2 linked regions of the Alligator mississippiensis genome follow. The protein of the gene in region 1 purifies or fractionates together with the protein of each later gene. This does not show direct contact. Links are inferred from orthologs where the notes say so. Each region holds a gene or a part of one and is shown in the gene's direction. Other genes may lie near its edges.

Region 1 (6,960 bases):
GCTTACTGAGTTTTGGCAAGCCATCGAGGGCCGCAGGATAGGTAGCCAGGGGCAGATATATATTAATTTTCTAATTTTTTTAGGGGTCCCGCGGGCTGGATAGAATGGCCTGGTGAGCCACATCCAGCCCCCGGGCCGCATTTTGCCCACACCTGATCTAACTCCAGTCTCTTTCCAGGGTGTCACACAGCTTCCCAACAGCTGCCCATCGCAAGACTGCTATTATAGTGATGAAAACAGCCGGCTAGAGCTAACAAGGAGAAGCCCACGTGGGAAGAGACAGACAGAGGGATGGAAACAAGGAATGTATGCAGCTCTGTTGGGGAGAGACCTACCTCTGTGTTACCCCGTGAGAGCTTGAAGCTGTGACTTCCCCTGCATGTCCTGCACCATGAAATCATATAGGCGTGTTTGCTGTCAGTGGAAAGGGGTCTGTTGTAACACAGACTTTGCATTTTCATGTCAAGGACGGAAGGTGTAAAGTGTCTGTGTGACCTGGGCTGTCTCTTGTAAATAATTGTTCACACTAATAGTCTTAATGCATAGTCTTAATAAAGCTTCCTGGATGAAAGAGAAACTCAGAAAAGCTGCTGGATTTTTTTTTTTTGCTTGTAGAATGACAACAGGGGGCTTTGGATGGTTATAAGGCAGTGAGACCTGTGCAGGGTGGGAGCGGTGGGAGTCTAGAGGCTGTGGGGACGGTTACGGGGGGAAGCATCCCTCATTCTTTCCAACACCTCCCCTCCCTATCACTTGCCAGGTGAGAGCAGACAGACAGGGAAAGCAGAGCAACCACCCAACTGAGCAAGCTCACAGCATCCCCAATGGCTGGGAGAAATACATATAGCTATTAGGTATGCACACAACCTTGCTAAGTTCAAGAAACAGCAAGGCTATAGTGCTGAATATTTGACACTTTATACCCAGTGGATCATGCCTTAAATCTGCTTCCAAAGATGCTCACTAAAGGCTTGGCTCAGTGAAGGGGTTGAGAATCCCAACTCCCATTTCCTTTGGTGCAGGCCTCATCTTACACACAGCAACAGACCCCTGGCATTGTGCTCTGGACTGCACAGGGGCTAGGGCAAAGAAAGTGCACACCTGAAGACAGCACTTTCGTAAAGTTCTGAGCAAGCTGAAAAGCATTTGGATTATGTGCCCTTGTCTCCTACTGTAGGCTATGACCCCTTCACATATACTGCACATAAACAGAAATTAGAATAAGGCACAGCTGCTGTTAGACAGGCCCCAGCGTCAGCTTGCTACAGAACTACAGGAGCAGAAGAGTGCCTTAAATTGACAGTTATTAGTTAAGAAATGCAAACACGGCAACTTTTTAACAATCAGGGTGACTATTTGAGACGAATAAGGATGCTCTTGATCATTGAGACAGCTGCAATATTGATTCTTAAAATGGATTTCAATAAATTATGATAATCCACCTGGCTCCTTCTAGGGAAGTCATCAGCAGACGTATCTTGGAAACATCTAAATGTTGCAGTATTCTCATTTTTTTTTTTTTACAGAATGCCCAATGTTGTGATTCTTTCACTGTCCCTAAAGCGATAAAACACCAGCAGGCAGGTATTTTTATCCACAAATATCTATCCGTGTATATAATTACCATTTACGAATCCAAACATGTTTTGTACTTGCAGTTACAAAATTGCATGTGCTTGCACGTAATCTGCAGTTGCCTGCATTTAAAAAAAGACCCACCTGGATTTCTCAATACCTTCAAGTAAGACTTCCGCTGCACTCACATTTTTTTCTGAAAATCTCACAGTGTTGCCCTAGCATTATTGAAATTCCAGCAGTGTTAGCACAATTATAGTAAAAATGCCAGTGACAAGTCAGGACTAACATCTAATCCAGCCCAGCAAATCTGGACATGTTAAAATGGTAAGAATGCTGCCATCCTGCCTGGACTAGGATTTCCATTTTGCACTAGTGACATATCTGAAGCAGCAGTCAATTTTCAGCAAATCTTCATTGGAGGCAAAGCCTTCATCTATTGAGCTTTTAAAACTCTAAACTCCCACAGAGTTTCTGGTTTGGCTGCTTTCACCCTTGCCTGCCAGTGAAAATAATTTTGTAAACCTAAAACTGTATTTAAATGCAATTTCGTCCCTATTATGTAATGGGATGTGACCTAGTTACATATCTTTAATCTGCACAACTAAACTGGTTGTATAACCAGACAGTAACAGCAGCAGCAATTGCACATCTCAAAGAGTGGCTCTTAATTTTCTGCACAGTCTGCTCAGCCCTTTTTGTATGGTTGTGTTACTGGACTTCACCTGTGATGGTGTTTATCAGTGAAACAGTATCAAAAAGTGCTTCACCTTTTGAAAACCACAACCCTTTAAATCATGGATTTTCAAATGAAAAGAGGCAGCTTCACCCACAAAGAACTGGAGAAGAAATCCAGAGGTCACAACCCCCTTCCCTTCCTTTTGGCATAGGTAGGGGAAGAAGGTCCTGAAAGACGGAGTTTTGTTAGAATCATAGAACCACAGAAAATTCAGGTTGGAAGGGACTTAAGTCACATCTAGTCCAACCCCCTGCTCAAAGCAGGACCAGCCCCACCTAGCTCATCCCAGCCAAAGCTTTGTCTACCCAGGTCTTAAAAACCTTCAAGGACAGAGATTCCAGCACCTCCCTGGGGAGCTGTTCCAGTGGTTTACTACCCTCCTAGTGAGAATTTTTTTTCTAAAATCTATCCTAAATTTCCCTTGCTGCAACTTGGGCCCATCGCTCCTTGCTCTGTCATCTGCCCCCACTGAGAACCGTCCAGGTCCAGCCTCTTTGGAAACACCCTTCAGGTAGCTGAAGGCTGCTATTAAATCCCTCCTCGGTCTTCTCTTCTGCGGACTAAATAAGCCCAGTTCCTTCAGCCTTTCCTCATAAGTCGTGCCCCAGACCCACACCATTTTTGTTGCCTTCCACTGGATTTCTTGCCAATGTGTCCACATCCTCTCTGCAGTGGGAGGCCCAAAATTGGACACAGGACTCCAGATGTGGCCTTGCTAGTGATGAATAGAAGGGGGGGGAAATCACTTCTTTTGCTCTGCTGACAACGCTTCTACTAATGCAGCCTTGTATGCCATTAGCCTTCTTGGCAACAAGGGCACACTGCTGGCTCATATTCAACTTATTGTCCACTGTCACCCCCAGGTCTTTTTCCATAGAGCTGCTGCTTAGCCAGTCGGTCCCCAGCCTGTACCAGTGCCTGGGAGTGTGCCGCCCCAAGTGCAGGGCTAACAGGGTCACAGCTGTGAGGCTGAAGTAGATTATTGCTCCCAAAGTTTAACTGTGTAAAGACAAGCTTTGAAAAAGGGACTGGGAATAAGGAACCGACTTCAGTCTGGAGAAAAGCCTGAGCTCTGCTGAAGGTAACAGGTGCTGTCTCAGGGTGCAGCCTACGTGCTGGGCAGTGAGGGCTGCATCCTGCAAGGCCCCCATGGTGCTCCTCTGGACAAAGCCTGGCAGCCCATGGGCCATGCTGCATTGCCAGGGCTGTGACACACCTGCAACCCAGGAAGAGGTCAATGAAAGATGCATTGATTGGGCAACGCTGAGGAGCCCACCTCCTCCCAGGGCTCGCACCCTGCTCCTCCCCAGCCCCAAATACCCCTGCAATAACTTGCAAAGGAGCAGCAATGCACTTGCAACCCCAACCCGCGCCTGCGCAGTACTCCCTCCCTTCACTACCCTCACTGCGCAGGCTCCACTCTGGCCTCCAAGCTGCCCGTACTGCGCATGCTCGTACTGTTCCCTCAGTCCCACACTGCTCGCCTTTCCCCCTGGAGAGTGCGGAAAACGGCTCGTCTTCTATGCGCATGTGCACGGCGGGGAAGGGGCGACTCCCGGCATCTCCAAGCCCTCCCCCACACCGCCTTGCCTCCCTCGCGCAGGCGCAGTGCGCCCAGGGGCTCCTGGCCGCCGCGCAGGCGCAGTGGCAGTTTCCTGGATCCCTTGTCAGTGCCGGGCCCTGCCGGCCGCTCCCTCTCCGGCCTCGCGTGGACTGACCAGAGTCCGCGGGCCGCCCTCCCCTCCCCTCTCCCTCACCAGGTAAGCGCCCTCCGCCCCCCTCACGACAGTGGGTCCTCTGTGGGGGCTCGCGCCCCTCCCCCAACCCCCGCGGGGGTGCGGGAGGGGGAGGGGCAGGGGGTGCAGCCCCTCCCCCCTCGCAGGATGCGTTGGGGTGCGGGAGGGGGAGGGGCAGGGGGTGCAGCCCCTCCCCCCCGTGTGGGGATGTGGGAGGGGGTGCAGCCCCACCCCCTCCTAGCCCAAGGGGTTTAGGAGCGGGGCTGGGGGGGCCCCAAGTCGCCTTTGGGAGGGGAGTCCTGAGGAGTGGGGGGGCCAAATGGGTCAAACGAGACAGGTGGGTGTAGGGGACGGAGGACGTGTCTGTGTCTTCGTCCCAATGCGGCACGGCGATGGAAATCAGCGCGGCGGGAGCGAGCGTCCAGCCCCCCGCCCCGGGGAGGGCGCGACGGGCACGGCGGCGAGTCTCCAGCTTTCTTGTCATCGTCATGCGGGCCCGGAGGGCCGCGACGCTGCTGGGCAGAGCGCCCCGAGTGCCCGGGGAGCGGCGACGTCCTGTTTTGGGGATATCGCTGGCGAGGGCTCGGCGGCACTGCAGGAGTTGCAGCCCGCGTGAAGTCCGAGGGTTGTGTCACGGCGGACGGCACGTGTTGGGTGCCGCGGGAACAGCGGCGTTTTGGAAAATAGCTTTTTCGGGAAATAGCCGCCTGCTCTGGGTGAGGGTACGAGAGCGCTTCGTGCGTCGCGGCGTGTCTGGTCGTGGTCCGCGTGCACAAGAGCGCTGGACGTGGAGGCCGTGGCGGTGCTGGATAGCGTGGGTTGAGTATCTAGGGGACGGAAAAGAGCTCACCTGCTGTGACAGCTCTGAATTAGTCGCAGGCTTCGTATTAGTCCGTGTGCGTGCGAACCCGGGAAATTGAGCGTTGACGCTGCTGGACAGGGCGTGTTGAGCGCCGAGGGACCAGCAGCATCCTAGTAGAAAATTAACTGATGAGGGCATGACAGCGCTTAATGAGTCGCAGCCTTGTCTTAAGTCTACCGGCATACGAATGGGGGAAATCGAGGGTTGCGGCTCTGCGGGATAGAGCGCATGAAGTGTCTAGGGAACGGCAGTATCCTTGAAAATAGCTTTTTTTGGCAGAGCGTTGTCTGACACGGATGTTATCGTGGATCGAGAATTTTGCTGCGCGTCAGTAACGCTGAGGAGTTGTGGGATCAGCTGGTATGAATGAGAACGCTGCCCTGGAAACAGCTGCATAGTGCTTAGGGATGAGTATAGCTAAAAAATTGCATGAAGACTTTTCAGGGGGATGGTAAAAAAATAAATCAAGTCAGGAAAAGGAGATTGCAGATACCAAATGAGAACAGGGTGTGGAGGTATTCTTTTTTTTTCTTTCTTTTTTGAGAATTGTTTTGATGACCCTCCCAAACACTACTGTCACTCGATACAAGTGAAGACAGCTTGAACATAAGCTCATCAGGAGGATTTATTCCCTGGAGGGACACTGTCAGTTGGGAAGAGTGGATCAAAACTCTCTTCCACCTTTGGGGAACAAGAGAATATGTTAGGTTAGTGCTGAATATGGAGGATCTGTCTAAGGTGAACAACAGTTGTCATGAACGTTTTTCATAAGCTTCAGGACCAAACACAAGGATCATGAGTAAAATGTATAAAGTCGATGTTATGAAGACAGGAGTGTCTCTCCAACACGAGGCCTGTGTATTATGAAAGTATCAGATTATGGTAGGAACAGTGGTTTGAAATAGAAAAATAGCTATTTTTTTTATATATATTTGGCACTATTATATTTTGGGAAGATAAAAAAGGGCTGAGCAATCCTTGCTGGTGGAACGGCTTTTCCACATTTTCTGTATATGGAAATGTAGTGCTACCAGCGAGCACTAATACAAAAACCTGGAAAAAAGCGATTTGCCAACACATTTTGCTTAGATTAACAAGTGGAATCTCAAATCATGGTTGCCCAAGGTCAGAGGTGATTCAGATTCTTGCTAATGAGTGTGAAGGCATAACACCACTAATTATTTTGGTAGTACTGGATAAACCTCTTTAATAATAGTTTAGATTCATATACTAGAATACAAACAGTAAAAGAACATGTTAGGAAGATCATGGGGCAGTTAAAATTACAGCTGGCGTTTTATTTATATGAAGTTTTTAGCAATTTGTTTCCCCTCAGAATGCCCTTTTAAGAAGTAAATTTACCCGATGCTTCCCTAAGTGCAAGGTAATGTAGCATTTAAGTATTAGGAAAATAACCTGTTTTCAAAATATTTGCATTGTTTTAATGCTCTCTGACTACGCCTCAAGGCCATAGCACCTTTAGTACACTTGTTAAACTAGTGTAAGTTTAATGTCTAAACTCAGTAAAAAGTTTACTCATCTTTCAGTCACTCCCAAGTTTCTATTGGGTTGCCATTCATTTCCTGTTTGCTTCTGAATTCCTACCTTGCCCTACAGTCTCCACCCTCTGCTAACATGGCCATACTTGGGTATGTTGCCATTTCAGACTCTAATGGATGTAGCAGTCTTGCAATGACATCACTAGGATTTTTCTTTTTAGATGCATTTTGGGCAGGGGCGGGGGGTTGAACTGAGCCATTAGCCAAAGAGCAATTGCTATGAAAAGTAGTAGGAATGTGCGAACAATGGAGGGAACTGGCAAATCCAGTCATAGGCACTTGGGTGTACATATTTTGAATATTACAGGTGACTTAAATTGCTGTGATGTTATCTGCCGCCCTTTTTGGTTGTTTTTATTGTATGCTTTTGACAGTTGTGCGTTTGGAATATATTAACCCTGAAATTGCTTTCTATATGATTACCAGTACGCTTTTCAGTTGCATTTATCTGGTGGATCTGTTTTGACACAGTTGTAAATAAGGTTTTAA
Region 2 (5,975 bases), on another chromosome or scaffold:
AGCGGGGCCGGGCGGGGCCGGGGGGGCGGGCGGTGCTCGGCGCTGCACGGTCCCGCGCCCGGCGCAGCGGCTCCCCCGGCGCCAGGGCCAGCCACCGGTGACGTCAGGGGGCGGGGCTGGCGCGGCGCGGCCAATCGGGGGGCGGCGGCGGGGGTGCCTGGAGACGGGGCCAAGCTAAAATTAGCGCGGGGGGGGCGGGGCCCACTCACTGCCCCCCCCCCGCCCCCTCCCTCACCGCACCGCACCGCACCGCACCGCACACAGCGCAGGCTTCGCGCACGGGCTTTATTGAGGGCAGGCGCGGGCCGCACACAACGCGACCCCCGGGCGCGGGGCCGCCCCCACATCGGCCGCCCCGCGGGCCAGCTGGGCTGGGGCAGCCAGGGGCAGGGGAGTCACAGCAAGAGGCGCCCGGGGAGAGGGAGGGCAAGGGCGGCGCAGCGCCCGCCTGGCCGTGGCAGACAAGCAGCCGGGGTGCGGGCCCGGCCGCCCCGCTCCATGGCAGCAAGCAAGGCCCCTCCACCCCCCCGCAGCCCCGACCCCAGGGAGCGCGGCCCCCCCCCGGCACACGGCCCCGCGCTCAGCCAGTCTCCAGCGGGGCGGCGCGGGCAAGTCCAGAGCCCCGCTAGCCGTCCAGTAGCTTGAGGATGCTCTCCCGCTCCTTCAGGGTCTTCCAGGCCTGGTCCTTCTCCTTCTTGGTGGGCGTGCGCTTCTTCTGCCGCGCGGCCATGATCTTGCGGAAGGCGTCCATGACCTCGTTGTCCGCCATGCGCACGCGCTGCCGCAGCTCCTGCCGGTGCAGCTCCTCCTTGGCCAGCCTGCCAGGGCAGAGCCGTCAGCCCCACCAGACCAGGCCCAGGCCCAGGCCCGGCCCCGGCCCCCAGGCCGCCTGCGGTACCCACCGGAGCAGGTCGTGCTTCTTGGCGCGGTTGTGAGCGCTGAGCGCCTTGAGCTCCGCCTGCCGCTTGCGCAGCTCCGCCAGCACCTCGTCCTCAGCGTCCTCGGCCGGGCGGTCCTCCGAGTCCAGCAGCCCCTGTGCGATCAGCTCCTCCTTGATGCGCCCCTCCAGCGACTTGGTGTGCGGCACGCTGCCAGGGACGAGGGCGGGCTGCTGTCACCCCACGGGCCCTTTCAAGGCGGGCCGCAGGGAAGAGGGCAGCGGGGCCCCACGGCTGCTCACCTGAAGGGCTTGTTCTGGCTGCGGGGCGAGGTGCCAGCGCCATCAGCCCCCGAGTCCTTGCCCACGATCTCGGGGATCGGGGAGTCCTCCACGGGGGAGATGATGTTCTCCTAACAACAGAGCGTGGAGACAGGGGTCAGCGCTGGGCAGCGGGGGCCAAGTACGGCCCAGCCCGGAGCCCCACTCACCTCCACCAGCGCTTGTAGGAGGCGCTGCGTCAGGGGGCCGAAGGGGCAGCCATCCTCGGGCTGCTCGTGCTGGGCCTCCGACTTCTTCAGCAGTGCGTCCACATCTGCAGGGAGACGGGGAGGGGGCTATGAGCAGCGTTGGGGAGATGGGCCCCCGAGCCAGCTGAGCAGCGAGGGAACCCCCCTCCCACCTGTGGCTCTTGGTCCCAGGCCTCACCCCACCTGCCCCCCCGTAGAGCGTGCCCAGGCAGGCTGCAGAGCAAGGTGCCCGCGTGCTGGGCAGGGCCCCGGAGCCCAAAGGTCATCTGTGCTCCCCAGGCCTGGCTGAACCAGACCGTGCCCCGCACCAGGTGCCCCTGTGCCCAGCTGCCGGGATGCAGGGCTGAGCCAGAGGCACCTTTCGTGTCCAGCTCGGTCAGTGGCCCCAGGACGCCTTTCTTCTTGTCCGCAGCTGCAGCCACGCGGGCGCCGTCTTTCTGCTCCTCCAGCAGGTCCTCCTGGGCCCAGCGCTGCGAGTAGTGCTTCCCCAGGGGCGGGATCTGCAACAGAAGCCTTGTGAGCAGCACGCGGCTGGGGAGCCCCGAGCCGCCGTCCCCTCCTGGGGAACACGGCCACAGGGGAGTGCCCCAGCCCCACGGCCCAGCGCCCAGGCTCCTGCAGCGCTGCAGGCCCTGCCTCCAGGAAGTCACAGGGCGCCAGGCTCACAGCACATCGGCAGGCTCAGGGAGGGGCCACTTGAGCGTCCCTGCTTCTCTGCGTCAAGTCTGAGAACGCCCATCGCACCCGGAGCTTTGCACCGTGCCTGGCCCTGGGCTGCCGACACAAGGGGCTGCTCCGGTGCCCTGGCCTTGCCCCATGCGCCCGACCACGCCAGGAGCCTGCGCCGAGCCCCTGCAGGATCACCTCCAACTCCTGCCCCGCGCTCCCTTGTGCTCTGCTGCTGCCAACCAGCCAGAGGCTGATGGCCGAGCCGGGAGCCCTGCGGGGTGGCAGAGACCGCTTGTCTGGCCCTGCCTGGCAGCGACACGTGGGCGTCCTTTGGCGCCCGAGATGCTGCTCGGTGCCTGGTGCGAGGGCAGAGAACGCCCCCTCCTGGCTGGCGCCGCATTGGGCTTTCAGGCCCCCGACAGGGTCCCTGGGGCCGACAGCGGTGGGGGGGACGGGATCGGCTCAGCATCGCCTGGCTGCGGTCCCCGTCCAGGCCGGGCCCGGGGGCAGCGTGCAGGGCGCGAGCTCGGCGGCAGCGCCGGGCGCAGCTGGGCCCGCGGGCGCTCACCTTGTAGTGCTCGGCCTCGTCCTCGGGCGGCTTGAGCAGCTCCTCCAGCACGCGCAGCTCCTCGGTGGTGAGGTCGGCGCAGTACGGCTCCACCGAGTTCCAGAACCTGCGGGGGGAGGGGCAGAGCCGTGCTGCGAGGGGGCCGGGCAGGGCAGGGCAGGGCAGGGCAGGGCGGAGCGGGGCAGGCGGGCGGGCGGGGCCGGGCACGCACCTGTTGGGCGCGTCGTTCTTGGGGATGCGCGGCACGTCCACGGGGTCGTCGGGGAACTCGTACTCCTGGATCTTGGGCTGCAGGTTCTTGGACTTGGGCCGCCCGGGGCCCGGCCCCGGCCCGTGGCCCCCCTTGCCCTCGAGCTTCTGCTTCTTGGGCTTGCCGTGCTTGACCGGGGCGCCCAGGTCGTGCTCCTTCAGCTTCAGGAACCGCCGGTCCCCCTTCTTGTCCTGCCAGTCCGTCAGGATCTGCGGGCGGCGCGGCGCGGCTCAGCCCCGGCCCGGCCCGGCCCGGCCCCCCTGCCCCGCCCCGCCCCGCCCCGCCCCGCCCCCGCACCTGGGTCTCGGCCTCCAGCACGCGCAGGCGGCGGCTGGCGGACGACAGCAGCGTCTCGAGCTCCAGCTGCAGCGTGTCCAGCTCCTCGATGCCGATGCCGTCGTCCTCGGAGCGCGCCAGCACGGCCGTGTAGCGCGGGCACACCTTGCCGTGGTCCACCGACTTGAAGTCGTGGAACTGCAGCGGGCAGTCCTTCAACTCGCTCATCGCGCCGGGCGCCGCGCACCGGGCGCTCCGCACGTGGCCGCCGCCGGCACCGGGCGCGGGGGGCGGGGGCGCTCCGCCGGGGTCGCGCCGCGGCCGCGCTCAGCCCCTTCCGGCCGCCGTAGCCAGAGTCAGCGCCCGCCCCGCGCGCTCCTCATTGGCTGGGCCGCACCCCGCGGAGATCCCCATTGGCCGCGCCGCCCGCTCGCTCTCCGTTCCCTAATATGGAGGCCGCGGCGGGGCCGTACCAAGTGCGGCGCGGGGGGAGGGGGGGGCGCGGATCCCGCTGGCGGGGGCGCGCGCTCAGGGCGCTCGGGGCCGCGGCGGCGAGAGGACCCCGGCCTCGGAGGTGAAGTCGCGGCCCCGGCGCGGCCGCTGCTCCCGCGTGAGGGGGTGGCTCCGGCTGCGGCTCCTGCAGCGCTCCGCCCCCCCCCCCCCGCCCCCGGGGCGCAATGGGCGGTGCCGCCCGTCCCGGAACAGAGGAGCCGCCCGCGCCGCTAGTTCCGCTTCCGCTTCCCGGGACCCCACCGGAGCCGCCGTCAGCGCCGCCATGGTAGGACCGGGCCGGGCCGGGCGGGGAAGCGGGGCGGGGGCGGGGGCCGGGGCCGGGGGCCGGGGCGCGCTGACCCGTGCCCGCTGCCCGCAGACCGCCACGCTGCGCCCCTACCTGAGCGCGGTGCGCGCCACGCTGCAGGCCGCGCTCTGCCTGGAGAACTTCTCGTCGCAGGTGGTGGAGCGGCACAACAAGCCCGAGGTGGAAGTCAGGTACGGGGCCGGGGCCCGGGCCCGGGGGGCGGCGCGCCGGGGGCCGCTGGCGTTGCGGGGCGGGGGCGGGGGCGGGGGCCGGGGCCGGGGCTGACGTGTGGGCGGCTGCCAGGAGCAGCAAAGAGCTGCTGCTGCAGCCCGTGATCATCAGCCGGAACGAGAAGGAGAAGGTGCTGATCGAGGGGTCCATCAACTCGGTGCGGGTCAGCATCGCCGTGAAGCAGGTGAGCCGGGGCCGGGGCCCGGGGGGGCGGCGCGGGGCGGGGCGGGGGGGCCGAGCCTGACTTCCTCCGCCCCCCTGCTCCCCCCCTCGCCTGCCCGCAGGCTGACGAGATCGAGAAGATCCTCTGCCACAAGTTCATGCGGTTCATGATGATGAGAGCCGAGAACTTCTTCATCCTGCGCAGGAAGGCCGTGGAGGTGAGGGGCGCCGGGCCGGGCCGGGCCGCTTCCCGCTGGGCCCCGGGCACAGCAGGGCTGAGCGCTCGCCCCTTCCTCTTCCCCCAGGGCTACGACATCAGCTTCCTGATCACGAACTTCCACACGGAGCAGATGTACAAGCACAAGCTGGTGGACTTCGTGATACACTTCATGGAGGAGATCGACAAGGAGATCAGCGAGATGAAGCTGTCCGTCAATGCCAGGGCTCGCATTGTGGCGGAGGAGTTCCTCAAAAACGTGAGGCTCGCAGGCGGGGCGGTGGGCGCCCGTGGTGCGGGGCAGCGGCACGGTTCTGTTAGAGGGCTCGGTGGAGGGGAGCAGAGCGGCCTGCTTAGGCTGTCTGACCCCCCTGTTAGAAGAAGCCCCTGCCCGCTGGCCCCTGCGTGGGGGGCTGAGGCTCCCCGTGCAGGGAGCGGTGGGGGGTGCAGCAGCCCCTGCAGGGCCGAGAGACCTGGGGCAGGCCGCCCACCCGCTGCAGGGAGGCTGGTGACATCCGCGGCAGCCTGTTGGGAGCGAAAGCAGAAGCTGTGGGTTGGAGCGTCTCGGGCAGGCAGCGGGGGGAGAAGGGATGTCTCTAGCCTGCTGCGCTGTGGGAGGGGCCTCAGTGCCGGCTTCCCACGCTGATTGTTTCCATCCCGCCCTCGTGCGCTCGGGCTGAGGCGGCTCGGCTGTGCAGACGCAGGGGGGCTGGCAGGGCGCCAACCTGGCCCTGTGCGGTGTGTGGCCGGAAATCAGACCTGCAGCCATTAACGGCCTGTCTCTTCTCGCCCCTGCCCAGTTTTAGACCATGGTGCTGGACTCCACGGCTTCACGTTCTCATTCTCTCCTGCGTCTCTGCACAGCCGCCCTGCCAGGCTGGGGGGCCGCAGCCTGGGCCTTGCTCTCGGGAAGAGAGATGAGAAGCAGCCAGATCTTATGGAGCTGTCCAGTGGAATGTACATTGCATTCTCCATCGTCCCCAGGGAAGGGAGGGAGGAGTTAATATTTGAAGCAAACCGTGCTTGTTTGAGACTGTGTCGACTCCATGTTCTTTTTTAAATGACTAATCATTTGCTGTAACGTCTCCGATTCTCCTAGCGGTGGGGGCGCGGGGTTGGAGGGGAGCTTTGGCTGCTATGGCGCTGGACAGCACGTGCGATGCGTGTCTCCTGCCCCGAGGCTGGCAGCTGCTGGCCGCCCTGCCAGCGTCCAGCAGGGCCTCTCTGCAAAGGGGGGTGCCCGCTAGCTGCCAAATGTGGCTCCTTGCCCCTAGTGCTCGGGCCGCAGCTAGGCCGCGCCTGGTGCCATCTGCAGGGGTTTGGCCCAGCAGCAGAGGGGCCTGCTTTGCTTTTAGGGCAGGACTGCAGCTCTCTCGGGCTGGGGCTGGGCCCTCCA

The links.
Region 2: the proteins of ARPC1A (region 1) and ARPC4 fractionate together in Homo sapiens (co-fractionation; 7 studies listed by BioGRID and IntAct, with this or other methods). This does not show direct contact. The link is inferred for Alligator mississippiensis from reciprocal best matches to the Homo sapiens genes ARPC1A and ARPC4.

The regions. Positions count from the first base shown.
Region 1 is NC_081836.1:53,602,614-53,609,573, forward strand, and holds the start of ARPC1A (actin-related protein 2/3 complex subunit 1A), read left to right. Parts: upstream 1-3,959; 5' UTR 3,960-4,074; intron 4,075-6,960. UniProt on the Homo sapiens protein: Probably functions as a component of the Arp2/3 complex which is involved in regulation of actin polymerization and together with an activating nucleation-promoting factor (NPF) mediates the formation of branched actin networks.
Region 2 is NC_081835.1:473,060-479,034, forward strand, and holds ARPC4 (actin-related protein 2/3 complex subunit 4), read left to right. Parts: upstream 1-3,839; 5' UTR 3,840-3,945; coding exon 3,946-3,948; intron 3,949-4,041; coding exon 4,042-4,160; intron 4,161-4,272; coding exon 4,273-4,384; intron 4,385-4,484; coding exon 4,485-4,580; intron 4,581-4,667; coding exon 4,668-4,838; intron 4,839-5,379; coding exon 5,380-5,385; 3' UTR 5,386-5,473; downstream 5,474-5,975. Other genes in the region: TADA3 (transcriptional adapter 3), read right to left, coding at 626-818, 903-1,088, 1,181-1,290, 1,369-1,472, 1,766-1,907, 2,645-2,750, 2,856-3,103, 3,192-3,398. UniProt on the Homo sapiens protein: Actin-binding component of the Arp2/3 complex, a multiprotein complex that mediates actin polymerization upon stimulation by nucleation-promoting factor (NPF).